Linked DNA regions of Lepisosteus oculatus. The protein of the gene in region 4 interacts with the protein of the main gene of each other region in a pairwise test. Links are inferred from orthologs where the notes say so. Each region holds a gene or a part of one and is shown on either strand. Other genes may lie near its edges.

Region 1 (8,645 bases), on a different chromosome or scaffold from region 4:
GGAAGCATAGGCAGGGATTGAATTTAAGGTGGATCAATGAAATGAAGGACAATGGACATGAAAACATTTATTGATCTTTCATATTTCCATATATGCTTTTTAAGAATTTGTATCATAAGTAGTTGAGTTTTAGGCTCCTTTTACAGTATCTCTATAATAGCATCAACATTCCCCTTTTTATCATTATATAAAAATGATGATGCCACAGAACTACAAATACACAACTTTAGTACAAACCATTAAAAAAATCTGATCTGTTGTATTACAGGACATGTAATTACAGTACATGTAATTTACTGACTGAAAAAGATTGGTTAGACAAAATGAAATGGTGAGGCTTCTATTTGCCTTAGAGGAAAGACAGACATACTGAAGGAACCTTTAATACAATAGTATTATATATCAAATTTATTTAACAACAATAGGCATCTGTAGACTATGATTGAAGTTCTCTTCAAAACAATTCTAGCAAAAATGTTTCAATGCCTTTTGATAGACTCATTTTAATTTTAAAATATTTCCTCTATTTTCTTTACGAAGGAAATTCTTTGTGATTTTTAAATCAAAAGCACATCCCCCCATAATGTCTTCAGAATAGTGCTATACACATAAGGCATTATTGGAAGCATAACTGAGTTGGTTTTGTTGCTTCCTTTAAATCGAAAGACAATGACTAGTAGAGAAATTAGCACTAGGTGAATGAAAATATGCCCGTGGATCAACTGCTTTCCAGAATACTGACAGCAGATGTACAGTAACGGAACCTCAATTCTTCCTGAGGCAAAATTATAGATTAGAGTATTAAGTGTTCTAAATAAATTGTTGATCGCCGATTTAATCTGTATTGATGGTTTAGTCGATGTAAGGAGTCAAAAAGTAAGTGGACGACGACGGGTGTCTTACAAAATGACGTCGTACAAGGTAATGGCAAATTTAATACAGCACAACACGCAATTTGAAGAAAGTTACACAAAAAATGGAATGGGAACTATAGTGTTTAATCCACCTCGATCCATTTTAGAGATTCCGCTATTGCGTGTTTTGATTACTCACTAAGGAAGTACATATTTGTTATTTTTGAACGGTTCACATTTTATTTGTAAATTGGTGCAATCGGAATCTGTTAAAAAAGAGTTATCTGATTAAGTGAATCTTAAGCATAAAACATTACGAAAGTGAAATATCTGTGAAATACACTGATAAATGGAATCCACAGCTTCTAAAAAACATTTGCAGCAGCGGAAAATGTTCACTAAATTTCCCTAGGGAAGTGTGCAGATTTCTTGATAGATTATTGAGATAGTGTGCAATATGAAATACAAAAAAAGCATACAATTAACTCAAAATGGAATATATGATGAAAAAGAAGGGCGGCGTCTTTAAATCCTGCAAGCTGAACCCCTGTGGTTTAATGTGCCCTTGCTCAGCCTCTCTTATAACGCAATCAATCTTTACGAGTACTGTAGGTGCCCTTTCTGTGCCCTTCTTACAACTACAGCGCGGGTCTATGGTGCGCTGCAGACTGAAACTGCAGCACACCGCGGTGCAAGCAAGCTACGAGAAAGCTGAAATAATAGATGACTGAACAAAAACTCTTGGAAATCTTACTAAATCTCAGTGTTCGCTCGAATTGATGTATATGGATTCCCTTTCCATTGATTAAAGAGGACTACGATGGGGAAAAAAAAATATTTTGTTAAATCCTCCAGCACATTGCATTAAAGTTACTGTGAAACGGGTCGTGCAAAAGAACAAAAAAAAGTTTAAAATGTTTTTCTCTTCCATTATTACACATGCGCCGTTATAATTTAATTCAATCGTGCATTTTTGTGAGTGGAAGGCGGCATGCAAATATTCAATTTATACTTATTACAATTAGCTAATGCCTGACTTACTCCTGTGCTTCGGTCCAAGCTTCCCCCTGGCGCTGCCGTTAGCTTGGTGGTATTGAGCCCAACCAGGGATGGCAGGGTCTGCGACATCCAGTTGGTGATCATTGCCATGGTGCTGAGCACAACCCCAATTTTGAGTAAAGGCACCGACATCGCTGCTTTGTACGTCTCACAAAAACCTTCATTCTAAACATTCCAGCGAAAAACATTGTTGGCAATCCATCCTGCCTGTAAACGCTTGGTGCAACACCCGTGTGCCTGGCGTGGAGGTTCTTGCCTTGGACATCGTTGATCAATGATGCGAAGGAGGTTTTTCTGTCTTTTCGAAGAGCAGCACTAGTGCTCTGTTATTGAGGTAACACTGAGATGCTGTTCTGCACCACCGCTACTGATTAAACAGAAATATAGCTGAGTATCTTCCTTCGCTCCTTTCCCTGCACTGGTCTAAAAGCTCTCACGCTAGCCCTTTCTTTTCAATTAAACCCTTGATCCGCCCCTGTCTAATACGCTGTTGAGAAAGTGTGAAAGTGACTACAGGCTGTTCGAAATGGATAAGGGGGAGGAGGTAAGGAGGATCTATGTAACGGAGCGCAATGTGATGTCAGGTTTGGTTTGCTTATGAGACGCCCTCCTGTTGCCACTGGGGAGCTGCTGCCTGTGCTTTTAAATTGGATTTTATTGCCTTGGATCCCTCTCCTGTGAATTACAAAGAGCACGCATGCCCACGTTGTAGTGCTTTGTTGGTTTCTAGATGCTAAGCGTTGAATTACTCCAAGTGAAAACCACATTTCATCCACTTGAAAATTGAACTGTTCATTTCAATAGCATAACCTATTCCAAATTCACCTATATTTTCACAGTCTCTACTGTTGCAGTAAAGTACGTTTAAACGCTAAAATATTTTCTTCACGAACTTAATTAAACACTAAACTCGAGTCATAAAGATTTGACGGAATCTCTGTTACGTTCTATTTATGTATCAATCACGTCTTTAAAATGAGAAAATGCGTTACAGATTATTTTCCTTTGTACTTACAAAATTCACAACCTTCAAATCTGCTTCCGGTATTTTGGAAGTGCCCAATTATTTTAATGTATGGAATTGCTGTGGCGACAGGTAATAAATTACTACCTTAATACCGAACCTTTGTGATCTGTTTCTCTGCTTCGCTGCGGTAGAGGACTTCTTATTATGCAATAGTTTGTAGACATTTGAAATGGAAGGATTCCGTCGCCCCCTTGTAGCAAACTGAGGTTATTGCAGAAGTATTCTCTGACTCATTGACTGTTGTCTGTCCCATATCATAACATGAACTGTACTTGAAACAAAACAATTCAGGTTGATGGTCTGCATTCTTTAAACTTCGTGTATTTAAATTGATTTTGATCTGCATTAAAGTTTTGTTCTTGCTTTGTATTCTTGTAAGGAAAAATGCTCTTTACAAAATTTGTTGTAGGTACGTGTCGTGTATGTGTATTTCAGCATATGTATCTTTGCTGTTACTGTGCAACACTTTAACAAAAAAGAACATATCTACATATATAGAGTTTTTGTTTATAGACTAATGAAATAATTAATATTCAAAGAGTTCGGGTTATTTGTTTGGTTTAATGCCTATTCAAATTATTCAATGCAAGCCGGCCAAACCGAAGTCACTCTTATTTCCATCGTATCGACCTCATGCTCGAGCACAATGTAAATAAAAATGTAATATAAATTAAACATTATGAACACTGTTTAATGTTATTGTATATCTACTTACACAAAACCACCAAAAGAATATTTCTAAAACGAGGATGGTGACGTTGGCCACCAGGAATTCGAAAAAAGTAATATCCCAGTTACAGTAAAGATCTAGATCTCCTGACACTGTAGGTGTCATTATTCAACAATATCAACGATATAAATGCATTATACGTTTCTTTTGGCAAAAATGTAAAAATGGACATTCGCATTGTTCAACATACCTCTTTGTGGTCAATTTTATTATATTTAACCAAACTCATGTATCCTGGCATTTCGTAATCCAATGATTTGCGTTAGGTATAACATATTCTGCTAATTTTTTTATATCATACACTTTATGGAACCAGGGCTCCATAATCCTAGGCTCCACATTGTAGCATAGAAAGTAAAGATAATATCTGAGATATTACTGGGTACTGGTGCCTTTAATAAAAGAAAAATTAGTACAGTACATACACCAGGCTGTATCCAGCAGAAACTAAAAAAGTAGGTCACATTATATTATCTATTTATGTACAATTATTTCTTTTATCCCTTAGGCATCTAATAGCATATCATTTGATTGTTATTTCTCTACCAATACATTTTTATTCTTAACACAAAAGTTCCTTTTTTATGAGAAAGTAAAAATCATACAAGTAATCCTGCATTTATCATGGGCCAATAATATATCACTAAGCTTCAAGTATTTTTTATGTTCTTGTAGATTAAATGAAAATCAAGCCCTGTAACAGAATTGGGACATTCTGAGGAGTCCCTGAAAAGTAATGTTTAATAAAATTCTCAGAACTAAAATTTCCAGTAAAACTAACATTGTATTAGTTTTCTTACATAGTGTTTAACACCCCTATGTGGTTTTAGGGTCTCTACTGTTCTGTAGACAGTTTTCATATTTTTTAGATTGAGCTATACATTCAGGATTATGACTTTTTGTCCTGCTCAGATATCTAGTTATAGTCTAGTTTTTGAATGTCTAGTATAGATAGATCTAATATAGTCTAGTTCTTGAATGGATATGACCTTCCAATGCCATGGAGCAGTTGATACTCTATATGTTCAATAATTCTCAAAATTAGAACATATTAAATAAATGGAAAACACCCTGGTCCTGTAAGTAAGATGGAGGAGACACCCTGACTTGAACGCAGTCCTTAAGTTCAATAATGACTGAACACTTTTGCTGGTTAGTTTAAACAGGAAAGAAAAGTCTTGAATTACATTAAAACATTGTGCACACTCCTCAATGATTAAGATTATTTGTTTGCATTTCTTGAAGGAATTCTACAATTTCAATAAGAAGCTGAAAGGCAGAACAATCATATTGATTATGGGGCTTAACAACAACATCAACAACAACAACAACAACAACAACAACAACAAAAGTGACATTGCATCCCACTTCGGAATTTGCGTTTCCCTTTATAAACACACATATAAACAATAAATAAATAGTCTTTATGTGTACATTATTATAAAATGGCTTTTTCCAGAAAATGAGAAGGCTACACCCATCATTAGAAAGCCTCCTAACCTTGTGAAGACTGTTGTTACCATGAATCTCTCCAAGAAGCATAGACTGATTGAGCGCAAACATCCACTCTCTCCTTAAATGGAATGTGTCTATTAAAGGGTATTGGAGAAAAGAACAATGCAAAGTAGCCATTCAGAAGAAACCTGCACATCACTGGGAGATGAGAAGAAACCAGAGCACTTGGAGAAAATGTACACAAACTCCAGACAAGACTACATGACGAAGGAAAAAGTAGAGCTGTAGAACAGGATTAGGTGTATTGTTTGTCCTGTTAGTATATAATATTTGTGGTTTTCATTATAACCTACCTCTTTTTATTCTTATCTGTATTATAAGGAATGGGAGAAAAATGTGACAAACCTTTGATAAGTAGCACAAGTTTTGTAAATATTAAATCACTGCAGCAATTCAACAGTACCTCCAATTAAAGAGTCATTTTGAGTCTTCATAACTGCTCTGCAACAAAACTAAATCTATGTTTCCCAAATCCCTGTAATCAGAGGGCAGCCAGGATTTCATCAGCCTTGATTTCAAATGACAGTAGCCAAAGCCTTTAAGTGCTCTTGCTTTCAGATGCACCTTAATAAAATCCTTGTGCTGCCAAAAACATCAAATGACCCATGACTATTATTTATTATTTTTTCAAATGCAGACTGATTTTGCTTTAAATGAAATGTAATGTAATTTGCACATCAAAGTAAAATGATTTGATAAATAGCTACCTGTCTGCATTTGATTAATGACAGAGCATGGGGTGTTAAATTTTTAAACACCTCCCCTCAGGTCCCATTGAAACAAACAGCACAAAGCCCGGAGAATTACAATTAACTGTCTTTGTTATGAAACTGATACCAAATAAACTTAATTCATATTTATATATTTATTTCTTTGCAGTACAAAAATAAAAACATAGAATTTACCCTCGAGGTACATAATTGTTTGTGATGATGGGAGGTATTTTAAAAGTGGACCTGTAAAAAAATAAGTTAATTGTAGGGAGCATGTCATACTGTATATGAAAGTGATGATAAAATACTTGAGATTCTGTACATTATTTAACCTCTTTTTGTTACTTACAGAATAACAGTGTTAATGACTTTGAGACAAGGGATTTAAACTTCACTGAAATTTCTGGTATGTCTACATACCTGTGGTTTTCTACCAAGTATGATGATATTAATATCTGGGATAGAAATCATCTATTTATTCTGACAACAATCTACTTATTAGAGATAATTTGTTTTCAGTGATTTCAGACAATTCTCTTGCGTAAAGAGATGACACAAATGAATGAGAATTGCTATTGAAGACTGTAAGAAACAGTATTAGGTACTGTATCGCATACGGCCACCATTGCAGGTTGTTCTAGCCGGCTTACCAGCGCGGTGATGTCACTGCTCTTCCCTGTGAATAGCAGGGACTGCAGCCGTCGGGCTGACGGGAGATTTCCCTTTAGCTCAAGTGGCTGGGTCCCTGTTGAGTGATGCTGGAGGCCCAGGTTCGAGTCCCCGACGGTGGGGGGACCGACCTGAGGCGGCAGCGGCGAGGGGGCATACCCCCGTGAACCCCAGATTGTTACAGTACCTTTATGGAAATCCATCAGGATTTCAGACTAAGTAATTAATTTGAAAGAAATGGCATCATTGCACCACTGAAAGGTTTTTACATCTTTTTAAATATATTGAGTATTTTAAGAGTAACACTAATATGAACTAATTGTGTATTCAGTACCACGTAATGAACATATACTGTACATATTCATGTTCATGAAACAGTTTTTTGGCCTTCCCCTAAAAAGAGTGGCTCGTTAATTCTGATATAAAAAACACAAAGAGCTTAAGTTTCATTATAAGCAGTGAGTATAATGTAGTTACTATTAAGATACCAAATACTGGGTGCCAGCACTTCAGATTCTGACAGATTTAATTGTAATGTGAATCAGCAGTAAATCTGTCAGAATCTGACAGTCTCAAAGCCTCCAAATAACAATATTTTTAGCAGAGGAGAAAAGAAGATTTCAAAATACTCTGGGGCTTTTAAAATGTATTTCTTCAGCGAAACAATGGTGTCAAAGAAAACTGTAAATTCATTTTTTCCTGTGAAGATTTATTTTACAACAGTACAGCAAAAAATACTTTATTTTTCACTTCAATTAATATTAATTAATATTAACTCTAATTATGATGCAGTACTGTTTCCATCAATGTTTGGAAAATCAGCTTTCACAATTTGCTGTTTTAAGTAGGTCAGCTAAATGAAACGTTTCAAACAAGAAAAAATGGGTGGCTGTAAAAAATTACAAATTCCACATATTACTCCTATTATTTTCAACTGTCCTTTAATGAGGAGGTCTAAGATTGATCCCTCCTTTTAAATCCTTAACTTTAATGTGGTCTACTGGGAGAAGAAAGTCATGTCTCAGCCTTACTTCTGCATTGAATTCTTTTAATTATTTTTTTTTTTTTTTTACTTTGACAGTTGTTTTGAAACAATGTTCAATAAATTAATGATTTTGTAAAAATATAAACCATATAATCTAGGGCAACAATTTGCTATAGGTGTCCAGTAATATACTGTACATGTAAAGAAATGTACAGTTCTAATTTGACTTACACTCTCATGTTTTTTTAAACATCTCTAAACTCATCTATTTGAATATTTTGATACCAATATAGTCTATTAAAAACATGCTATACTATTTATTTTGACTTTTGAGTTAATATCTAAAAACACAAACCCTGGTCAACAAAGTACTTTAAGCAGTAAAGTTATGTTGTAAGAATTAAACTTAAGTAGACTGTGAAGCAGGCTAGGAATTAATTAAGAATAAATAGATTTTTTTTAAAGATGATGATGATACTTATTTGCAACCAAACATCTAATCCATTGTGTAATTTGTCTACTATACATACAAACATACAGTAAATCAGTTCTGTTAGTTACAGTATACAGTATATGCTTAATATTGCTGCTTTCAGTTTACACATTGTAATTGAGATTAAGTCAAATAATGCATGCCTTTCTCAGGGGTTACAGGGGTTACAGTGACTAAATGCAAGTTAATCAATAGGTAAGGACAGAGTGTTTTTTTTCTTTTGCCTAATAAATGCCTAAATGCTAGTATCAACAGAGCCATTTTAAGGTTTATAGTGTATTAATACAGAGTTGTTGCACAACACTACTTTACAGTGAAATTTGAATGTTACAGAACAATGTATTCTTGTAGTTAATTCACTCTTTGGGAGAAGATAAAAAAACATTATAGATTTTGGATTAAATACTTTTCAATTTGTTTAAAAAAACAGAAACAGCACATTCTTTCAAAAAGATATGGCCACCAGCCATATCACTCTGCAGCTCACAACTGGCAACCCCCTGAAACTAAACAGGTGTGAGCCTGGTCAGTACCTGGATGGGAGACCCCCTGGGAAAAACTAAGGTTGCTGCTGGAAGAGGTGTTAGTGGGGCCACCAAG
Region 2 (7,746 bases), on a different chromosome or scaffold from region 4:
GTATGTGTGTGGAATTTGTATGTTCTCCCTGTGCTCACAAGGGTTTCCATCAGGTCCTCCAGTTTCCTCACACAGTCCAAAGCCATATTAATAGGTTAACTTTCTTATGGAAAAACTGGTCCTGATGTAAGAGTGTGTATGTGTACCCTGCAATAGTCTGGCATCACGTCTAGGGTGTAAAAATGGATTTGATGGATATTGGAGAATTAAGAAAAAACTGAGTTGTATTACAATGTCACCACTTCTTATATACAGTTTAATATTTAATGGGAATGGTAAGCTTATTTAAAACTTGTAGCCAGTTTTAAAGGTAACCAGTACTGCTTTTTACTCGTTTTTATGTCTGTAGAAAACAGTAGAATGCTAATTAGGAGAATGTTGAGGAAGAAGATAAGTGTATTCTAGAGGGAATTAAAAACCTGGATGTATATCCATTTTTAAAAAAGGAAAATGACTGGGCAGTAATGAATATCTGCAGATTATGAAGGGAATTTGGATTTGTGTTAGAGGATATGTATGTAAAGCATGTCTCTTGGGCTCGGGTGCAGACAAGTGTTCAATGCCAGACAACATATTTTTGAGATAGCTGAGCCAATGCTATAAAGCCTGTGAACTACACAGTCTGTGCCAACAACTGAGAGCTGGAAGTTACATTAAACAGCCTAATAAAGGAAACTGGTCTGTTAAAATATGCTTGAAGCCTTGGATTTTCCCTGTCTCAGAGACTGAAGCCCTGACCCTTCCCTTGATTAGGTCTCTACCCATACTGAGGATAATTTCTGCTTCCTCTCTTTGTGAGTACACACCCTACAGTAAAACACTTGCACTTGAAAACAATCCACGAGAAACATCCTTTAATTACACAGGTCTTGCCATATAGAAATAACAGTTGTTGAGATCTATGACTTAGACGGCTGAGTTATTTTTTTAAATATCTACAGTACTTCAAGATATTTTGTAATTTACATTCCTAATGAATTTATTATTAAAGCTATTCGTATGAATTCATATGTTTTTTTTTTGGAGTTAGTAAAGATATTTTACTCTAAATAGATAACTCCAAATTAACACTTTACATTGTTTTGCCTCACTGTAACAGGTCTACATACATAACCAGGACAGCTCTTCATGAATCATATACTCACATAATACACTTCACTGAAGAAGTAATAATCTATTACTGTTGCATGTAAAGGAGGGACATCTCTACAAGTTGTATGTTTTTTTAATTTTTGGTGAAAGTCAAGGCAAAAAACATCTAAAAAATAATAACCTCCAAATCAGAGCGTTTGTCTTTTCCCATTGTGAAATCTGGGACTTCATTTCTGAGACTTCATTTCTTTCCCTCTCCACTTTGCCTGCTTCACAAATGCAATAATCACGCACCGAGAGACTGGAATCAGATTGTTCGGCGCATACAAATCAGCCACTGTCTCGTGAGTCTTGGCTGTCAGACTTCATGATGAAAACACAGGCAGGTCTTATTACTTCACATGGAGCTCTCGCGGACATAGTTATGGACAGTGATAGCAAATCAGAATGTAATGACGATAACTAATCTCTGCAAATTAAAGAGTCAATAGACCTGTCTGCTACCTGCTTCTGACCCTGTTGAACTAAGACAACTAGTGGCATCTTCTCCAGCTACTCTATGTACCATCTACGACACCACAACTGAGATGGATAGTGTTAATTATTCAATGGTATATTATCTTCATCTGCACACACAAGGCAAACCACTTTGAAAGTTCTCCCAGTACAAAACACAACTTAAGCTTGCATGCAAAATTCCCTATATTCAATTCTACATTTGTGAACCTTAAAAACCACATAAATATGTATTTGTTTCTTTCCATTGTGACTGGGTTTCAGAGTTAAGGGGGTAGCTTTCTGTATGGATATTTGATTGAAAATGACTTTGATGAAAACAGCAGTCTGAAAGAATAAAACAGTCCACTTGTCTGAGTATGAATAATATTACATTTTACAGAGGTATTTTTTTTAAATGGAATTTAAATACCATTTTGGTTTTCGGTGACCTTTCATTGGCCATTTCTATTAAGTTTAGAAATCAGTGAGCCATGCAGGACACCTGAACAGGCAGAAATAAAGATGTCTTTATTAAAAACAGTAGTCTTTTGTTATACGATGTACTTGGACATGCTGCAGTGAAGAAGTCTGTTGAAATAGTCATGGCAACATTGCAAGACATGTTCATATTCTGAACTAGCACAGGAAATAATCTTAGCCAAACCATAACTTTTTTTCATTAATATATTACACTGAAGAAGGAAGTTAACCATTTATCAGTCTTTTGGGAAGAATTGTGGTTAAGAGCCAGGAAACCTAAATGCTTTAATATCTAACTCCAAATGAAAAACATCCTCATAATTTAAAAACTTTGAACATCTGTTCCAGAATGAGAGTCCACTATTTGAAGTCTCACCTCACATCACATTAGCTCTTATTCTAATTTATTGCTAAAATGTTTGAATGCCTGTTGAGATATTTTGTGCCCACCTGGTACACTGTTCTTGAAACACATCTTGACCGGAACATCAGATGCAAGGCCCGTAGGTTCATAATCCGCCACCTTCTGAAAGCTTGAGAAGTCAAATTCCATAGGAGGCCATCTCTATTAAAGAAGATCTCTTCAAAGCCAATTAACACAGCCTCCATTGCAACTTGATAGTCAAGGTATTGTTGACAGCCAGGTAACTTTCACAGGTACAGCATATCTTACACTTGATGCTTTTCAGAAAAGTTCCCTTTAAAAACACACAGGGACCTGGTAAAATTCAGAGCAACCCCAAGTAACCTCTCTCCCACGCAGCTGAAACATGTGCCTCCTGAGTTTTCCTCTATTCCATCTGCAGAAAGACAAATTTGGAATAACACGCAAAAAGTACTAAAATATCCACAAAGGAATATTCTGAGCCAATAGAAACTTTTTGGAGTGTTTATTTTGTGCTGAATAGTATAATCCCTCTGAGATAAATCTTCAGATAAATGTGAAATCCATCTGGGAGTAGGCGAGGTACAGTAGTGTCTTCTGCCTCTGAAGATAATCAGATGTCCTCACGCACAATGCCGCAGCTACGTGATACACTATCTCCCCTTCCTGACTTTCTAAAAGGCAACAGAGGAACAAACTTAGCATCTTGTGGGGGTTTACTAGTCTCTGCTGGGAGCTTGTCCAGAGTCTTAAAAAAAGCCCTTTGCCTCAGTGCCAACATTCCCAGGACATTCTGTTTTTCTGTTTAACCCTGTCAACCCCACAAATACAGAAGGTTACCCACTCGAAAAAAAGATGGCCATTTAGAGCAAAAAAAATCCAGAAGGTTATCTGGGTAAGCTGACAGGCAGTCAAGTTTTAGGGAGGCTTGTGAGCTGTTAAAGAAAACACTCCTCTGTAGCCTGTTTCAGAAGTTGCAAGTCACATTAACTGCTGAAGGGTTAACAGCTAAAAAGACTTCCAAGAATTCCTAAATGAGGCATCCAATCTGTATGTTCACATTCTTGTGATCGAACAGCTGAAAATATGTAGGATTGCCATCATGCCAACAGCTAACGCCATAGAGTCTTTTGACAGAGGCCTGAGTCAGTAGCATTTTACATGAAGACACTATAATTTCGATGGCAAATGACAATATTTTCTATCGCAACTAAAATATGTCAGCAATTTTGCACTTACTACATAACTGAAGTATTAAACTGTTCTGTAATTTTAAAAAAGCAGACATACTTACAAATAACTTGTACATATTACATTGACCTATATGAAAACTATAACATGTAACTCCTGGTCAAATTTCCTATCAGAATGACTGCTCCCAGGTCCCTCGCAATAAATTATGTTTTCCCAATTCCATCTTAATTGTCCCTTTCCTGATGTCTGCCTGAGAACATTTAAGGCTGCATACCAACTAATCTGCGGGAAATAACTGCTTTTAGTTCTTAATTGGTCCTGCTAGCATTGTATCATGCTCAGCAGTTTGTAATACAAATGAGGAATGTTTGTCCTTAACTATTACTACTAAACGTCCTTGAAAACATGCACAACTAAAAGCACACAAAGTCAAAGTGCATTCTTAATGTATGCAGACTTTTAAAATGACTATCTCCAGCCCTGTGTTTCTGGTCTGAAATCACTCATGCAGGGCACATCTCAAATTATTCTAGCTACATACGTTTTCCATACTCCAATTGGGAAGCTGATATTTGTTTGTTGTTAATGATAGCACTTGAATTAGGCATTATAAGCTTGTTATTTTGTCAAACTACAAAAAATTGACACATTTTAACATACTTTAAACTTTAACATACTTGAGGTGCTTGTTTTATGAACCTCAATCAAAAAAGCCTTAGATAATCAGAGTATATTTCTGAACAAGGGGTGTTCATCACTTGCCAGTTTAATTATCAGAAATACTCTGTATTTTTCTGCACTTCTGCAGAAAACAAAACCCAAAATCAATACAAAGTAAGATCAATGTACTTAAGCACATGCATTGCTGATTAAATGCATCTTTACAAGTGGCAGATTTATTGTGGGTATTGATGTGGGGCCACCTATAAGGACTTTTAGGCATCAAACTCAGCTTTAACCTTGTGCTTGAACACTGTATCTTTGGAAAAATGCAAAAATAACCTTCGACCACTAACTGCTTGTAACTGTAAACACCCTATTAAAAAATGTTTGTACTAGCATTATGATGGGAAGTAGTTGGAGCTGGGAATTTAAAAGTTATTTTCTTTTTTCTTTTTACTTTTCAGTGTGGAATTGAACTCTACTTGTTCTTTTACAACTTTCAGACTGAAACAGCTCCCCACTTATACCATGTCTCCAGATTCTCTTTGCTCTGCTTAATTGCTTAATTTCCATGATCATGTAATAACAGTCATCAAATGATTAATATTGTTCCATTAGGTCTATTAATTATTTTGCAACTGGCTCAACAGGATTATATTTTATTTTTTGTCGTTCCTCTGAGTTGTAGCCAAAGTAAGATGGTATTTTGCCACTGCTACAATTTCAAAATCAACCTCCTCACACACCCCAGTTCCAATTATACAACAGCACATGTACTGTACACACCCAAGCTGGCTATTTCCAGATCGTGCACAATAGTTACACATAATCATAGATATACAATAAGAAAGACCTACCTGTGATTTTAAAATTGGGTTAATTTATTTTCTAAAGCACAGACAAAACTACCTGCTTTGGAGTGGTCAAAGTGCTAATTTTCTCAAACAAGTTAGTTTTTTTTTAGTAAAAATCAGATCAATTAGCAAGAAAATCTACCAAAAATTGTCAAAATATGTTATAACCTTTCCTATGTTTTCTTAAAACATCTTGCATTGCACTTTCCCACAGAAAATGGAGTTACAACACTATTATTATTATTATTATTATTATTATGTTATTATTATTAACTATGATGAGATTATATATTCATTACTTCTTCATTTTTGCTCTACTTTTGTTCACATGAGGTTATCATAAGAAAGATTAGAAGCAAAAATATAATTGCAGGTAATCAAGGTATTTTAGGGTGCAATACAGTTTTTCTGAATTATATTCTTTGCGAGTAGTGGCTGTACATTATTAACATTTGCAGAAATGCTACTGCTGCCGAGTGTCTTTTAGGGAACGTGCAAATATTTGGTATTTAAAGATGTTCCCAGGGCTCTGTGTATATAAGTTCCTCATAGAACCCTGGGAAAGTTCATGGAATTCAGTGACCTGGTGTGAAAGTTTTCCAGTGCAGAAGTCTAGTTTTTTATTTTAACAACCTCTGAAAGGAATGAATTATTTAAAAAGAATGATAAAAAAAATGAATACAATCTAATTAAATCATAAATTAAATTGTCATTAATTTAATCATATATTTAAATATGATATAATGAGCACACTCCATTCTGTGTTTCTCTATTTCAACTGCAAAACCTAGTTGAAATTTAAGTTAAAAATAATGAAAAATACATTTTTTTGTTCAACTGATACAGACATCATGTGTATATTTATGATTGGCAAAGCCTTTAGGCACCTGAAGACAATTCATTCTATTAATTTTAAAAGTTCCTTGTGAAAGAGCCGGATGGCTTCACATAAATAAATCCCTATTGCAAAAGCAGTGGTGTACATACAGCTATTGAAAAAGAAAAGCCTCCGTAAATAAAGCTTTGAATCTTAAACTAAAATCCACCAAATAATGTTACATAAGTGTACAGTATATATGGTCAAATTAGGAAGTGTTTTCATCTTGAGACACTGTATAGTAGTTTCTCACACTAGTTATACAGGGTTTTAGAATTATAGCCAAGTGTCAGTTCCCACAGTTAAATCTCACTGAGAGAGATATACTGTACAAAACAGTCTATGGTTTCACCAATATTAGGCAGAGTACAACTTGTATCATCTGGCAGCACCTAACAACTCCCAGAACCCTATAGCACTCCTCTGTCTCTTTGCTTTCCTGTAGAAACCACTGAGAGTGGATTTTGCACATTTATTTTCAGCAGGAATGGTGTTTGGAAATAGTATCTCAAAATGCAATATCTTAAAAAAATTGCATTTGAACTTCTAATAATTATAAAGATGTATATATTGAATGCAAATAAAAAAACCTAGAGTTCTGGCAACAGATTGTCAGTAGCACAGACAGATTACAGAATATAGAAGACCAAAGACCTGTTTCTTCCTCTGTACAGGACAAATTAAGAGCAGAGATATGAGGGAGAGGTGAGATGGGGCAAGTGAGTGTCAGAATAGGTGAGAATGGATAAGGATGGGTAAAAGAGGCATAATTAAAAGGAAATGTGAGAATGTGAGATTGATTGCAGTGGGAGGTACAAAAGCCAGCAATCTGTAAATGAACTGTGAAAATGAAAATTAGAATAGTTAATAGCTGAGGGCTGGTGGCTTGTGTGTACCAAGAGTAATAATTATTTTGGCTTCTGATATATTTCTAGCACATGAGTCTCTGGATACCTGTGAAAGAACACAGACTGAGAGGTCAGCGTTATTGTAATTGGGAGAGGCATAATGGTGGACTATCACTGTGGAGAGGTCTTTGAACTTCATTGCTCTGACCTGTACAGTTCTGTATATGGCTGAAACTTCAAGACACATTACTAACTCTTCTGCATGTTAGCCCCTTTCACAAGATCCATCCATCTACTGCCAAAAGGAGTTTGTGTTCATAACTTCTCTGTTTATTCAAAATGGAAATTTGATTCTGAGGCCAACAATATTATTGTTGAACACCCACAGGCATTTCGAGACCCAGAATTCCAACACATTTGGATTCTCAATCATGTCTCCCTGTAACTGCTCAACAACACTTCTATTCATATTTATTGTGAAATGCTACTGTATTTCCTCATAGGTTAAAAATAGTAATGCTTGTTGATTTATAAATAAAAGACACTAAACCGCAATCACAATTGTAAGATTTCAGGAACAAGAATGCTTTATCTTCATCATGGGCATCATATCTCTCCACACCATGGTTCCCTTTAAGCTCTCGGACATACCTTCAACAAATGTACAGTACAGGATCTGCCAGTTTACATTTTTATCAGACCAGAATATATACTCACCCTGAGTGCCTTTTCTATCAATCTTTTCTACTACCAGTACCACTGGTATAATCTTAGGACTGATCTGTGCTAATATCTTTGTTGGCTGGGTAGAAGAACATTTCTGCTTGTCCTATACATTCCTCAACTTTACAAGCA
Region 3 (8,368 bases), on a different chromosome or scaffold from region 4:
ACAAGAAACTGAACTGAACTGAACTGTTAGAGTTCATGATTCTACCATTAGGAAAAGACTGAACAAGAATGGCTTTCATGGAAGAGCAGCCAGGAGAAAGCCCCTTGTCTCCCAAAAGAACATTGCTGCAAGGTGTAGGTCTCCATAACAGCACCTGAATGAACCACAAGACATCTGGAACAATGTCCTCTGGACAGCTGACACCGAAGTGGAGTTGTGTGGCTGTAATGCAAAATGACATGTTTGGTGAAAACCAAGCACTGAGTATCACCACAAGGATCTCATACCTACTGTCAAGCATGGTGGTGGAAGGCTGTTGATTTGGGCCTGCTTTGTAGCCGTAGGAACTGGACACCTCACAAACATTGAGTCCACTATGAATTCCTCTCTATCCCATTGCATTCTAAGTGAAAATGTGAGACCATCTCTTCAACAGCTAAAGCATAACCGGAAGTGGATCATGCAACAGGACAATGAACTAAAATACACCAGTAAATCTATGACTGAATAGGATTTTGGAACGGCCAAGTACAAGACCAGACCACAGCCCCATTAAGGGACCTGAAAAGAGCTGTGCATAAATGAATGTCCTCAGACATCAGCAAGCTGAAGCAGTTGTGTATGAAGGAGTGGGCCACAGGTTTTCCCCAGACAAAGTGAAAGACTGATAAACTTTTACAGGGAACATTTACTTCAAGTTACTGCTGCTAAAGGTGGTTCCACATGTTACTGAACCACAGGTGCACTTACTTTTTCACACAAGGCTACTGAATGTTGCCTGTTTTTTTGTTAATAAATAATGACAAAGTAAAATTTGTGTGTGTTATCTGTCACGTGAGGATCGATTTCTCTACTGGTAGGACTTGGTGAGGACTACACAAAGGACAAAAATGTCTTATTATGTAAAACCATTGAATTGTAAGAGGGTGCACTTTCTGTTTCACATCACTTTCTATATGATCCTTTAGTTTGTTTCTTACTTTATTGTTTACATAATCTTGCATGTAACAGAAGTTAGACCTATTAGTCTTATTATATTGACTGTCACACTCATCCTGAAAAACATTAGCAATTGTCCACTCAGTATCAAGGTATCAAGAGACTGTGTGAGACATATTTGGGTTAACATGTTCAGTGTTCAGTGTGTGGTAATTTGTTTGGTGCGAGTGAAGTTTTATTTAATCTCTGACAAAGAGGGAAAAGTGTGGTGTGGACAGCTGAGGAAAGAATGCAGGCTCGTGCTGTGTTGGCTAGTTTGTTTTTTATCGATAAAGTTTGATAATCGGCCAGTGAAAGCTCTGTTTTCCTTCACACGAATGCCTGAAACCCTATACCGAACCCAGGATTTTACACTAGGAATAACACCTCTCATTTCCACGGGAGACTTGTGGTCTTTCAGATCACAGCCTGTCACTGACAGACCATATTCCTTGGTTAGAAGCTGCTTTCTGTGAGTTCTGCACAGAGCAAGTAACCATGTGCTCTCTACGCCAGCCTCCTACATACTGATGGCTCTTAGTCACTGCTCCCTTTCTTGTGCAGGTCTTGATTTGTTCGGCAAATCAAAGCAAAACATACCTCATCACCTGTGTCCAGTCCACAACGAGGTGACAATTCGAGTGTGTCACAGTCAGTCATGAACAATCAGTTCATCACAGCTGTGCCAAAAACCGTTCAGCAATATCCAATATCTGTAGAAATTGTTTTTCAGAACCATACATGCACAAATTGATAATATTGTTTCAATTCTCAGTATATTAGCAAGCAGGCCACCAAAAGACTGGAACACTAAAGCTGTCAGTTGGAGCCTTAAAGACTAACCCCTCTAAACAACTCTAATAATAGAATTGATTCAATTATGAAATTAAATTAAGGAATTGATGTGAGGGGATGTTATAATTTTTACAGATCAAATTTGAGCATGTTTTGCAGTCTATGCAGATGACCATCTATTTATATGTGATTTGTATTCAGGTCTCAAACAAATTCTCTTTTTACAGCTGCTGAAAATTGTGGGAGATCTTAATGTGCAAAGAAGGAAAACCAAAAACTGTGACTGAGCAGGGGAACCTGCGTGGACAATGAGATAATAACTTTTCTGGACACTCCACTCAAAGCGCTATACAGGTAATGGGGACTCCCCTCCACCACCAGTGTATAGCATCAACCTGGATGATGTGACTGCAGCCATAGTGCTTCAGAGTAGAGTAGAGTAATGAAGCCAATTCATAGAGGAGGATTATTAGGAGGCTCCCTTACCAATCATTATTATTATTATTGGTAAGGGAAATTTGGCCAGGATGCCACCCCTACTCTTTTCAAGAAACGCCCTGGGATTTTCAATGACCACAGAGAGTCAGGACCTCGGTTTTACATCTCATCTGAAGGACAGCGCCTGTTTACAGTACAGTGTCTCCATCACTATACTGGGGCATTAGGACCCACATGGACTACAGAGTGAGCGCCCCCTGCTGGCCCCACTAACACCTCTTCCAGCAGCAACCTTTTTCCCAGGAGGTCTCCCATCCAGGTAGTGACCAGGCTCACACCTGCTTAGCTTCAGTGGGTTGCCAGTTGTGAGTTGCAGGGTGATATGGCTGCTGGCTGTCACTGCAGAGGGACTGGAAGACACACATTGATTTCCTTTTTTATTTCGTTAGAATTTATTTCTTACTCAGAGCTCCTACCAAAGTTACAGTGCCTTATAAAAGAAATCAGTCCCTGCCTATGGTGTCTCATTTTGTAAATAACAAACAGTATTGTCAAGTACCTATGGGTTAACTGAGGACATACAGCTGACCTCCTATTCTGAAAAGCTCTTAGACAGCTGAAATGATTTTCTTACGATAAATAAGTTTGAAGGGCATTTGCTCCTGAAAACACTACGCTGCGTCATGACCATGACGTAAGAGTTAGTTCAGCGGTCAAGCGGACTTCAGAGAATGAAACCCACAAAACTCTATGTCAGAACACCTAATGGTTTGAACAGATCTGGCTTTCCTTGTTGTCTTTATTGGGAGTGCATATTTTTTCACGTCTCTCGTGTCTGCGCCAGAGGTCACCACGTCACGCTCTGTGACACGGTTCGGTAATTTCAGGAGGAGCAAGAGTACAGATCTGTGGAAAGGATAAGCAGGTGTTCGCATTCCTAAATCATGTCAAACTACCCTCTAGAATACAAAGTTTTGGGAGATGATGTATATGATTTAGATAGCCAGACAAATGTGAAATGTAAGATTATTTTTATTTACTTTCCACATTTGGAAACCCCCGGTGAGATGGGAAATCCTCCAACAGGCTGCACAGTCGTGCAACATTTGACACGCTTTGAGCTCAGTCTTGACCTGTATAGCCTGTATAGAACATCCCACTCCTGACTTAGAAGGATAACCTTGATTCACTCAGCAAACAGCAAAAGCAAGAGGGACAAGAATGCACTGGGTAAGACCGTCATTTTGAAAATTGTGTACAGCTTTAGCCTCCATTTTGGAAGCAGCCTGAGGATAGGCAAGAGGAATGTCTTGCATTGACAGGTTAAAGAAAGGGAATCATTTTAGTCTTGAGCAACGGATGCTGCAGGGAGACGCGACTCGAGTATTCAAAAGCCTCAAAGGCACTGGGATGAGGATAAAGGGCTACGATTTCTTAAGAATCCAGAAAGAAACGCCCCAGAGGGGGAAGTTCTTTGACAACTGGGAACAGAACAAACTTCTCTACTCCAAAGGCCATGCGAGTCCCCGGCTCGGGTTTGAAGCCGATAGCGTGGTTTCCATCAGGAAATGGCGAGATGGGATTCTTGGGAAAATCACCCACCTGCATTGAAATGACCTTGATGGGCTGACTGGCCTCCTCTTGTTGGAGGAGTTTCAAGATTTTTGTGGCAGATTCTACTCAGACCCATTTAAGCATGTGGCAGCACTTAGCATCTCCCAGGAGCTGAGACCTCGAGATTGTGATGAGTCAAGACATGCATGTTCTCAAATACATTTTTCTCATGATAATATAACACCATTAGCCAGTCCTTAAAATTTGCACATTTTTAAACCCTACTGCACAACATGCGTTTCAAAATGGAACCTAGCAGGTTAAAGCGAGGCTTGCTCTCCTGACACACTAGTCACGCTTCATGCTGTGTCGGTCCACCAGATGGCGCGGTAGGTGAAGTTCACTATTAAACCATTTCTTGAACTAAAGAATGTGCTCCATGAACGTTAACAGCATTATTATTGTACAATCACAACCCCGTGGACATATTCGCAGGCAAACCTGCGAATTGTAACCGTTTAATTTCTTACAATTCTTTGTTAAATCGTCACTTCTGCAGGTACCATTTTAATCGAGGTACTGAGTTTTTAACGAGCTAATTATCCTGACTCTCTTATTCTTAGACACATGAAATACGTTTATTAAATGAAGAGGATTTCCTCTACATACAGTAGTTTAGAGCCGGAAATCGTACAATACAAGGAAACAGTTCCCCCCAGAACCTGGTAATAATATTTTACAACGCAAAGAACTGAAACTTAGAGACATCGCCCATGCTTACTTTATAGCTACACTGCAGAAAACATCTGCCGGTTATATTGCACCGGAAGTAAAAGAAAAGGGCAAGAAATCACAACATTGGTGTTTATGAAAACACAGGCCATAGGCAGGACTGTCGGCACGAAACTCCGAGGCGAAGAGATGTGCGCGATAACAGCAGCACAGCTCAAGTCCGAAGACGCGAAGAGCCTGCCGAGCCGGTAACACCCACCGCGCTCCTGTCAGCACAGCCCTCGGCTCCCGGAAGTGCCTGCCCGAGCGCAGCCGAGTCGCCGCGCCGAGTGTCCCGGATGTAGTTGCGGGAGGGGAGGCGGGGCTGTGGGCTGAGCTCGGCTGTCTCGCAGATAGAGGTTCAGTCCGCTGTGTGCGAGTGGGAGATGGACCGAGGGCGCTCTTCCGATTAGCGCAGCCTTAAAGCAACTCACATACCCAGAACTATTGAAATAATAGCAGGGATCGGGACGAGTAAAACAAACAACAAAAAAAGCAAAACAAAGCGAATAACTAGTTTATCTTTCACATCCACTCCACTCACACACACACGGCATTGATGGTAATGTATGCAAGGAAACAACCGAGACTCAGTGATGGGTAAACAGCTGAATATTTTTTATTCAGTTTTTTTCCTCCCTTTCCTTCTCCGCTTTGACAAATCCGCCATTTTTGTTGTAAACCAAAATAAGTAGAAACTTACGGAAGCTGTTTCTGCTTTTTATATTTTGTGCATACGGACATCTGTGCTCCAGTTGGTAGCTATTTAATGATTTTCTTTCTCTTTTTTTTTTCTAGGTGTAACGACCGAAGGGATTCCCAACCCTATCAGGTATAAGAAACAGAAACAAGATTAAGATGGGGGGGATACTCTAGCGCAGGCTTTTGGAGCACCTACAGGCCTCGGTGCGGAAAATACAAACGAAAAGTAGGAAATTCGACACGAAGATGCGCAAAAAAGGGTCTTGCTGGCAATATAAGTGTACTTTATGATCGATAGGGGACGTCGACGATTTTAAACGTCGAATTTCAGTGAAATTGAATTCTTCGAAATTTTCGTTTTGTGCAAGGCCCGTGTGGCAAAGATGAAGGCAGATGATCCGTCCAAAATGAAAGATTTCCTCTTGAACCCGAAATGCTGAAATGATCAGAAGTTCCTCGTTGAACTCCTAAGGCAGTTTGTAGCACATTTTATTCGTGAGTAAACGGTAGTCTGTCTGCTCACGGACGGGGTTTTATTCCGTGTGTGCTGTCATACTTCTCAAAACAATATAGAATTAATTTCAACGTACTTGACGTATTCAGGACACTGGAAACTTTTATAGGCTGGAGATGGTGGTTTCGTCGAATGTTGTACAATGTCTTCGAAAAAAACTTGCATATATAACTTAAACGTCTAGGACACGCATATTTTAAGTGTCCACTAGGCTTACTGTTTGCCTCCCAACGAAAACAAAAACCGTAATAAGTACGTAGTCAATGGAATATTGTTTATCTATCGGGGTTTTTCCTCTGGTGTTTTCACAGCTGTCATAGACGACGACAATGTCATTCATTTCCGCCAGCCAAGTTAGTGCCATAGCCTGGTGTGGACGGAAAGCAGGGGTTGCAAACTTTTTTTTTTGCTGTCGTAGTGCTTTAAGAACTGTTGAATTTTACATTTTCCAGACTCTTAAATACCCATCAAAGAGTCACCCCGGCGGTGACCACCGTCATGAGAAGATGCGAGATTCAGCCGACCCCACACCGCCCTGCAAGATGCTCCGCCGGTCCGACAGTCCCGAAAACAAGCACGGCGACAACATGGGCCACAACAAGGCGAAAGCAGTGCACGCACACCGGGTCAGAGAGAGAGACGGAGGTAAGGCTCCAGTCCAAGTCGCAGGTTGCCTCATGGGTTAGGCCTTTTCCTAGAGTAAAAAAAAAAACAATGCGCAAAGAACATGCAGTCCTGTTGAAGAGTTATCAGTTTTCACGTTTAGAACACCTTCCACCACGCAGTGCAGAAACGTGGTGGTCTTTCATCACACAAGCTTCTCTGAGGCTGGGTGATCTGCCCGGTGTTTCATCCCCAGAGGGGTTAGAGAAGGTGCGACTTTTCACCAAAATGCTTAAGTGACAGAGAGCTCGTCAATGAGTTTATGATGGCTCGCAGTGTTGTCATTGGGCAGACCGCTGACAGTGCGGTCTGACCACGTTCCAAGGAGGCGGCTGCTCACTGTTTTGCATCTGCACGGCAGCATTTGGTGTGTGATCATCAGGAGGACAGAAATATGAATGTGATCTGAAATTGAAGTAAGCAGCTGTCAGTTTTTGAACTGCTTGAGAAAAGTTGCTGTATCACACATATCACTTCATTAGTGGCGTCACCAAGACTTTCAGGTTTTGACCTATTTCAGCCTTAGCCTGTTCTGGCAGTAAAGAAGATGTGTGTACAACTAAGTTCTGCTATTTTCCCTTTCAAAATTGTTACTGTCAGGCTATCTTACCATAGATATTATAAAACCACCTTGTATACGAGTGAGCTGTATGAATAAAAAGAACCCCAAGAGCAATTACAAATGATAGGAGAGCATTTGACTCATACATGAACATAAACATAACTTTCTTGATCATTTTGTTCAGGGCATAGTGTAACATTTTTGGTGAGTGTAGGCAGATCAGTTGCTGGACCTGGTCAAAACAAAACAGTTCAGCAGGTTCAGGTATAGTGCGGTTCTTCTTTTAGTACTGTTTCCTGGGATAGCGGGGTAAGGAAACTTGTATTTTGTTACAAAATGTGTAGATATTTTCAGATGTTTGATTTTGATAAAAATTGAAGGGGGAACAACAAAATGTAGTGTAGGCATTAGAGGGGGGTGGTCCTGAATTAAATCACACTGGATTTTAGTAGCAGAACATCCTGAATAAGGTTGATTTCTAACTTCTCAAACAAGACCTATATGTACCTGTTGCATGTTGGTGTGCATGATTATGGTTTGGGTGTTATTCTTATGTTTTTGTTTAATGTTGTCCTTCAGTTCAAAGCTACTTTTATTTTGAGTAGTTAAGATCAGTAGCCATTCTATAGTGTGTTCAGGATTTTTTTTGCCATACATTAGATATACCTGACAATAACTTGCAAACATCTCTGGATGTTCTGAAGTTTTATCAGTGGTTAATCTTTTAACTTTTTTGGTTAGTATTTTAATTTATGCGTTCAAAATTGGCAATCTAAAGAGACTAAACAAACCAGACTTTCATACCTAGATATTTTTCCTTTCTTAGTGTTTTTGACTTTGAATCTCCTAAAACATGCTCTTTTCACAACACTTTAAATTGACACTTAAAACTCTGGAGATTGAAGATCACACAAGAATGCTCACAAAGTTCCTTTTTTGTTGGATGACACGCACTAAACAAGGAAACTGAGTGAAACAAAATGAAATCAATTCAAGACGGGTGGTTTTCCAGAACAAATTGTCTATTAGAAACAAACTTGAATAGTGTTTTTGAATGTAGATTATATTCTACTGTATAAAGTAGTCAGCATCACATCCGTAAAATTGCAGACCTCTCACTTTTAACATTGTGGTTCTAACAGTGTTTCTTTGTGAGTTTGAATTATATGCTGGCATTATATATAATGGAAGGTTCACTGCTTTTTAACAATTTTCATGTTTAACATGCTGAAGGTAACCTTAAAATAGTGAGAAACCATTTCTATGCTCCATCATTTTTTTCCCATGATTTCGATTCCATAATTTTGTGAATTGCAACAAGCTGAACAAGGTTGTTTACACCTTGCTATCGCATTATATTGGAGCACTTGGTGTTGATGTCTTGGGCAGCA
Region 4 (7,728 bases):
TGCGAGATTTCTGGCTACATTTGTAATACAAATGAAAATTGCTTAATGTTATATGAGATCAATGAACTTCTGGATTTATTTCGATATTAATATTATACTGTGCAGTCTCTTGAATGTTTAAAAATGTAATACTACAGCAAGCAGTAAAATTCAATTACATATTAATTACATACATTTAATAAACTGTCAAAGCAGAGCATATGCCACATTAAGTACAATATGTCACATGAACTCTATATTCAATTTATGAACTCTATAACCTCTACAGTTGTGTTCATAATATTAAATATTTAATAACGTTTCAGTCTGCAATATGCATTAGCTGTGAATGTTGCAACTGATGTCAGGCATGATCGCTTACCACAGCAGTTTTTCCCTTTAGTGCAGACTTTTTTATTATTCCCCATTTAATCACTGCATAAAATAAGTTACACTGAAGTTGCTTTATTTAAAGAAAAGATCTAATGCAATAAAAATAGTTTGGGGGTGTTCTGAATGAATAAATAAGTACTGATAACTGCAATTTATTTCTGTTAATAATGTTCCTGAACTAATGTGAAAGCTAAGGTTAATAAGACCACCTTACCTTGACATTGTCTGATTTCGTTTCTACCTCCGAATAAAGGCCTTTCATAAACCCAGTGGTCCTTATTACCTGTGAAAAACAGGATGGATACAGTTGTCCAATTATAAAATGAAGCCGGTTCCAGAATGTTAGGATTTTGGATCATTGATTATAAACCAAATGAATGAATAAATAATAAAAGAGATCAAGCTTTGAAGATCATACAGGTTATATTATTAGCGGACTGTCTTATGTAATTTGAAATGTACAATTTCAAATTTATATTACATGAGTTTACTTTCATTTGACTCCCCTAACCCTACCAAAAAAGTTTGAAAATGTCACAAACACTGAGCACGTTTGTCACCAAATGTGCACAAAATAACCAGCACATGCCACAGGTTCTCTGTTCTATGCAGACTACAGGCCTGGGACTGCCTATACAAAACATGTTGTTTAGGGAAAGGGTAAAAATTTTTCTAAAATCCAGATGATTGAGAACAAGAACAAAAATCTGGGACTGTGTTCCATGCATACATCATTTTACAGTTCTTGAAAAGTAAACTGCATTGTTCACAAGTGTGTCTAATATACGTTATATGTTATACTCTTGGCAGATCAATAATCTCCTTCTTCCCACTTAACGTATGCTGCATACAATGTCATTCCTAATTTTTTAAGTTCTTCATACAAGCTCAGCCTCCCAGGATAATCTTAGCTGGGCCTTGCTTCAATCTGCTATTTTTAAGACGAGTCATCTGGCTTTACTTCTATCACGCAACAAAGCAACTCTTTGAACAGGCTCTCTGAATCCCCTGCTCATGTAATTTTTCAATAATTAAAATATTCCGCAATTAACATCACTGATTTTGTTTCTCAAATTCAAACAATGATAGGGTCACTGTTCCACATTGTGAAACAGAGCAAAAAATAGCAAAGAGTTTCAGGAAGACATTTGTGATCATTTAACGATGAATGATGATGATTTGAAGACCTTAATGATTGGCAAGATGCTAATTATTCATAAATATGAAGACACCACAAGTCGCGTATTAACCTGTGAACATTTTAGAATTAGCCATGGTAATACAACAGTAGCACAGTTTTACCATGACGTACTACCAAAGCAGACTTAATATTATCACGACCATAAACTTGATGAACAATGATACAAAAACAGAGAGAGCAGCAAATATAGACACAGTAGCAAAAGAAATACGAAGAGACAAAATCATGGGGTAAACAGATACACAGCAAATCAAATTTAAAATAAGTGCAGTTATTCACACTGCTACAGTAATAGGATCGTATACTACATACTGTATATCATACAGGTGAACTGTCGGGAGCTACACATGAAGGGGTTTTTAATGTAGACACTTCTAAGCAATGACTTAATAAAACAAAGTTGATAAAACAATAAAAAAGCAAATTGAATCCTTGGTTTTATATTAAAAAGTGCAGAATTTAAGAAAATATCTACTTATTTTTTTTAAATGCACTACAAGGACCTCACTTTACAATTGCATTTAGTTTTTAAAGTCTTTCTAAGAATAATTCCTACAATCAGGGCTTTATTATACAATAATGTAGGGAGCAGAGATTGAGAGAAGATGCAATTATAAAATGCTGTATATAAAATGTCAAGGGTTAAGCCAGGAAATTCTTTCTCAGTATTAAAATAAGGACACAGGGAATTCATTGAGAATGGAAAACAAGAAACACTTCTTAACACAAATGTTGTTGGCTTGTGGAACAACCTTTTCAGGTTAAGGTTAAAATATTGAGCGCTTTTAAGAAACAGCTAGACATAAGAAAAGTTACAAACGATATAAGTCCTTCTGGTTCATCTAACCCATTTGCTAATTAAAGAATTAATTCATTCAAGGATTTATCTAGCCATTTCTTGAAAGATGTAAAGGGTAAAAGCATTAATCTCTGTACAGATGTTGCTCCTAATAAAATAATGCTTTGCTAGACCAAATTGTTTGAATTATCAGTAATAATTATATACTGGATTTGAGCGACACAAAGTAAAATAATCGTTTTGCTAACACCTCAGTAATATTAATTAGCGACACTGGCACAATAAAACAGCACAAATTATTTAGCTACCATTTTCATGACACAGCAGGACAGCGATTAATGTAATGTGTCCTCTGTGGGGACACATTACGGGATTAAAACCAACTGCTATGGAACAGAAAACTTTTTTTTTAAATAAAGGGTAGCGTGACGGAATCAAACACCGGGCAGAAAATGATGAGGTATATTTGTATTTTACGGTCCTGTATTTAAATAACTCATCAAGGCCTCGCATTGTTTAGTGTACTTGAGCAGAGACCAGTGCCTAGCAACCAGAAGACGCCAGTTCGATTCTACATCATTCAGACAGTTCAGGTGTTCACCGCATACCCTTTACAGCATTTACACTGAAACCGACTATTGTCCGTTTTTTAAAAAAATACAGTTATTTAGGTTACATCAGAGAACTTAACTGCATTTTTTAAATTTTCTGCAGCTGAGCCTTTACTACTCTTTATTCCTGAACAGCCTCACCCCAAACTTAGTCCCACTGAAATGCACTACTCCGAAACAAACACACACAGACCAGAGAAACTCCTCCTTGCAAACAAGCCACGGATATTTCAACAAATCCAATTTTTCCCGTTGTCAGTCATTGCAGTTCTGTTTCTCACCTCGGTGAATATATCATGCAGGTAGCGGAACGGCGGTTTACTAAGCAGTTTTTCAGTAAGAGGCGGCTTCTTAATCACTTTTCCCAAGGTATCTTGGGTCTTCTTGGTCACTGACGCGTTCATAGCAGCAGCAAAGCAAGACAAACGCCAAAACAAAAGTCCTTTAGGTGAAGACGAACCGAAAGAAACACTTCACCACATAAATTCTGCAATCACTGGGCTTTCAGTACGTCGGTATCTTCCGATCCCACAATGCATCGCTAAACCTAGCTGCGCCTGCGCAAGTGACGTATGGTTGTCAAGCGAGGCTTGCATCCTTAGCAACAAGTAACAACTGAAATGCAAAGAATTCCAAAGGCTCTTAGAATTGGATCGTTTGAGGTCCTTTTCTAAAAACCAAAATATCTGCAGGGCATTTATAGCTGAAAAATTAATTAAATGTTCATGGTTTATTTCATTCTTATTTTTAAGTTATTGCTATTGATCAATGTTTTAACACTGTTTTAATTCAATTATTACTAGAACGTTTCACTGAATTTACAGTAATGGAAAGTTAATGAACAACTAAAGCTGTTAGCACTGACAAAATCCCTGTATGAGTTTGAACTTGATCTTTATATGTTCTTGTGCCAAATAAGTTATCAAGAATTCCTGATGAGGAAAAAAAATCAACACCCCTTAATCTGAGTTATAGACATCATTTGAATTTTTACCATATGGGATAAGAGTTTTTGTTATTCATGTAGCAAAAATCCTTATATAAAATGTACTGTAGGAGATTAATAACAGAAAAGGAAATAAAACCAAGTTTGAAGTAAATAATTCTAAAGTAAAATAATTGCTCTAGCACTAACACAAAGCCATAGTTTTTTGTACCTTTATCTAAAATTAGGAAGTATAGATAAACTGTAACCTAAAGGTGTCTGTGAAGAATGAGATGGAAAATAAGGAAACCATTTTTAAAACTTGAAACTTGTTTGCATTTTTCTTTCAAAACATTTTAAAAACTAATCAATCAATCAATCAATTACCCCCATCTAATTAATGAGTTTGCATGTTTGTAAAGGAAATTTATATAGAAGAAAGCTTAAACAATATCAAGTTAAAATCTATAATCTAAAAAGTCCCATATATAATGTATAAAAATGATTGACGCATTAATTGTCCAGTATAGAATATGTATTTCAAGTTCTAATATTTTGTTCTGTATTCTTTCTTTTGTGAAAACCTTAGTATTAGTAGCTAAAAAAAGCTTTTATAGAAAAATATACTGCAACTATAACCACAATTATATAGAATTAGAATCACCTTGGTTTTTTTTCTCATTTGCTTTGTTAACCAACATTTAAAAAAACATAACTTAACAGTTCATAATTACACATTGGATATTTATCTCTCCCCATTTAACTCTAACAAAACTGTGCTTTTTACAAGAGCAATCTTTACAGATTAAACTTCTTCATGTTCTCTAGATTCCATCAATGGAAACATTACTCCAATTTCTCTACACAAAATCTTCAATAACCCCTCAAGCAATTTATGTAAACTACTTTGAAAGTAAGCAGCACATCACCATTAATGTGCTTTAATGCAGAGATCCTGCAGCCACTCCTAACTTTAAACATAAGAGTTTCTTAAGGTAGTAACAAGGATATACCCTGAAACAGGAATGTCTGGTGAACCATTTAGTTTATCTTTCACTTTTAAGATGATTAAGTGTGGAAGCTTGTTTGTTCTTCTGTACGGGGATCCAGGAAGTTAGAAATCTTCATAACTAGATTATTGCTTTTACTGATCCCATATAATTTTTAAATTCATTTTCATATGAATAAAGAATACTTAACACCTACTGTAATATCAGAAGTAAAATCTAGAATGAACGCTTTATAAAGTATTGTGGATCTCGGAAAACATCATTTTTCATTAAATAAAGTGCCTAATTCATAATAACTGTGAAGTGAGATGGCTGCATAAAAATTAACACTTTTATGTACAGGGGCTGTTTGCGCATAGGGGCAGCAAAGTGTCACCCAGGTGGGTGGTGCAGGTCAGTGATGGATGAAGTGGGCCCCTTCTCTGTGAAAAGCACTCGGGATTTCTTGGAAGGAAAAGGTCTATGCCAATTTAAGCACATGTTGTTATTATTAAGTTTAAATTGATTAGAAAATAGTTAAACCCTGTGAAAGACACAGTGATAAAAATGTTCATTCATAGCATATAGTTTATAATACTACTTAGTAAATTGTTTCAATAAAAGAACATACAGTAGGTGAATATAGTTGAATAGGTCTTTATCAGGTGTGCGTCAAGATGACTTGGTTGGACACACCCAAGGGAACAGATGAAAAGCGTGCTTACAGTTGGGGAGCTTGCTATAGCTGATGTGCACATCTCTGAGTGGTTAGGGTATACTAAGCAATTAAGGTCTTGTTGCATTCAGGGGATTATGAAACACACCGTTTTCTTCGTGAAATGTGTACTTTTTGTTCTATTTGCTGTACATTTTCTTTCTTTTTTGTTTAATGCTTTTTCTGAAAAAGATTTATGGTTTCTGAAACTGTGTACCACTAAGTAGCACTGTGTTTTGTCTAGGCGTGCTTTCAATCACATAACAGGATGGGAATATGGAAAAAATGCTGGGTTATGAAGTACTGTATATAATGATATTTTTGTTTTTAAAATAATAAATTACAAAAAAACGAATGCCAAAAGATCACTAGCTTGTTAACACAAGGACGTCAGGAATAAAAAAAAGTGAGAAATAGAAATAGTGGAATCAGTTAATAAACAGAAGCACGTTGATTGCTTTTTCTCTCTCTTTCATGCCAAAATTGAATAAAAGTGAAATGATTTAATAAAAAGTTAATCAATAACATACCTTAAAACCAGGTATTGATTTTTAAAAAATCTTAGCTACAAAAGGACAATAATTCCATAAAAAAAGTAAAACATATACTACAGAGTGAGTCTCATCTTGTACTTTGGTGCTGTACCAAGATGTACTTTAATACAGGTCTTCAAGCATAAAATTCAGAAGTATTGTTATTGTGGTTCATGAAAATTTCTAGTATCTTGTTTGTGTCATCATATTTTGCTTCTTAAATGTAGATGAATAATGAGAAAAAAACATTGAATAAATTATTGTTTTTAATAAAAAAGTAAGTCACTAAATACATTGATAGTTAGATCTTTCTCATTAATTTTCCTGAATACCTGAATGCCAAAGATGTAATTTAATTTCAGCGTTCAAAACTAGGTTCAAAACATAGATTCATTCCCTGTGGTTTCCTACAACCACAGGTAGGTTTAAAATGAGTGGTACTTAAAAAATTTAATTTAGATTAAAAGATTGAATCATTTCTGTTAAAAAAATACAGAACAGTAAAAATATATTATGAAGAAGCCTTTCTCCACCTATGATTAAAATCAATGGGATTAAAATTGGGTTTAAAGGTGCAGTATAAGCATTTATGTACTGTAAGTACTTCCCTACCCTGAGGCGTGTTTGAATAGTGTGTTTCAAAGATAAGGATATCCTGGTTTGTTATGCCTGACGTTCAAGCTTTGCTACACCTGTTAGATGAGTTAGATGACTATAAAAAGAAGGCTTGTGAGGTAAGAATTCAACGAACATTCACTCACATTTCAAGACAGCAACAGGTAAGAACGAAACTTGGCTCTTTCGTACTGTATCTAGGTGATTGAAAAAGTTCAATCTTTGAAACAGATTTATCTGCTTGGTAAATATTCTTGTAGAATACTTAAAAGCAGTATTACTCATCTCTAGTCAACCAGGATTATCATAGAATTGGTTTTACAAATATATTTGACTAATTGTCAGCATTAGATATAGCAAAAAAATAAATAAATAAGTGATTAATAATAATAATTGAGTAAAGAAGGGAATTATTAAATTGAAGAAGAGTTAAACTTAATAAATAACAGCTCTTTGTAATCCCCACAAACTGGAGACAAGTGTTCTAAATCAAGCTAGTCCACATGAGATAAAGAAACCATCACTAATTCAGAATTTTGCTGTGACATTCCCCCAGGAAAGTAATTCTATATTTGCTATACAGTAGCTGTCAAAACGTCAGTATAGAAAAATATAAACCAACCCTATTGGAAACCAAAACAGAAACAAATAGATGGAAAACATTAGAGGGTGGACAGATCTGATGTAAAGGGGAAACATGCAACTTAAGGACATTTTTTACTTTTCTCAAATACTGTTGTGTCATTCTATTATATGAGATCAATTATAACAAAACGAAAACTAAAGTATTACATTTGTAAAACGCTCACACTTTGTGCTAGAAATACAGTAGGAAGAGATTCTCTCTTAAAACAATTGTGTTGAATCTCCTCCTAGAACAGGTTAGTCCTGAAACAGGAATGCTAAAAGACAAGATTGTGGAAGTGCAAGCAGTATTACATGGGACTGATATTTCTGATGTCTTTAAA

The links.
Region 1: the proteins of traf3ip1 (region 4) and olfm1b interact in a two-hybrid assay, tested with the Homo sapiens proteins (2 studies listed by BioGRID and IntAct). The link is inferred for Lepisosteus oculatus from reciprocal best matches to the Homo sapiens genes TRAF3IP1 and OLFM1.
Region 2: the proteins of traf3ip1 (region 4) and frmd4a interact in a two-hybrid assay, tested with the Homo sapiens proteins (2 studies listed by BioGRID and IntAct). The link is inferred for Lepisosteus oculatus from reciprocal best matches to the Homo sapiens genes TRAF3IP1 and FRMD4A.
Region 3: the proteins of traf3ip1 (region 4) and waca interact in a two-hybrid assay, tested with the Homo sapiens proteins (2 studies listed by BioGRID and IntAct). The link is inferred for Lepisosteus oculatus from reciprocal best matches to the Homo sapiens genes TRAF3IP1 and WAC.

The regions. Positions count from the first base shown.
Region 1 is NC_090719.1:6,022,947-6,031,591, forward strand, and holds the start of olfm1b (olfactomedin 1b), read right to left. Parts: upstream 3,212-8,645; 5' UTR 2,046-3,211; coding exon 1,896-2,045; intron 1-1,895. UniProt on the Homo sapiens protein: Contributes to the regulation of axonal growth in the embryonic and adult central nervous system by inhibiting interactions between RTN4R and LINGO1. Inhibits RTN4R-mediated axon growth cone collapse.
Region 2 is NC_090702.1:14,365,812-14,373,557, forward strand, and holds the start of frmd4a (FERM domain-containing protein 4A), read right to left. Parts: upstream 3,118-7,746; 5' UTR 2,680-3,117; coding exon 2,521-2,679; intron 1-2,520. UniProt on the Homo sapiens protein: Scaffolding protein that regulates epithelial cell polarity by connecting ARF6 activation with the PAR3 complex. Plays a redundant role with FRMD4B in epithelial polarization. May regulate MAPT secretion by activating ARF6-signaling.
Region 3 is NC_090701.1:40,362,143-40,370,510, reverse strand, and holds the start of waca (WW domain-containing adapter protein with coiled-coil), read left to right. Parts: upstream 1-4,848; 5' UTR 4,849-5,095; coding exon 5,096-5,136; intron 5,137-5,334; coding exon 5,335-5,368; intron 5,369-6,204; coding exon 6,205-6,397; intron 6,398-8,368.
Region 4 is NC_090707.1:21,567,403-21,575,130, reverse strand, and holds the start of traf3ip1 (TRAF3-interacting protein 1), read right to left. Parts: upstream 3,521-7,728; 5' UTR 3,388-3,520; coding exon 3,265-3,387; intron 656-3,264; coding exon 587-655; intron 1-586.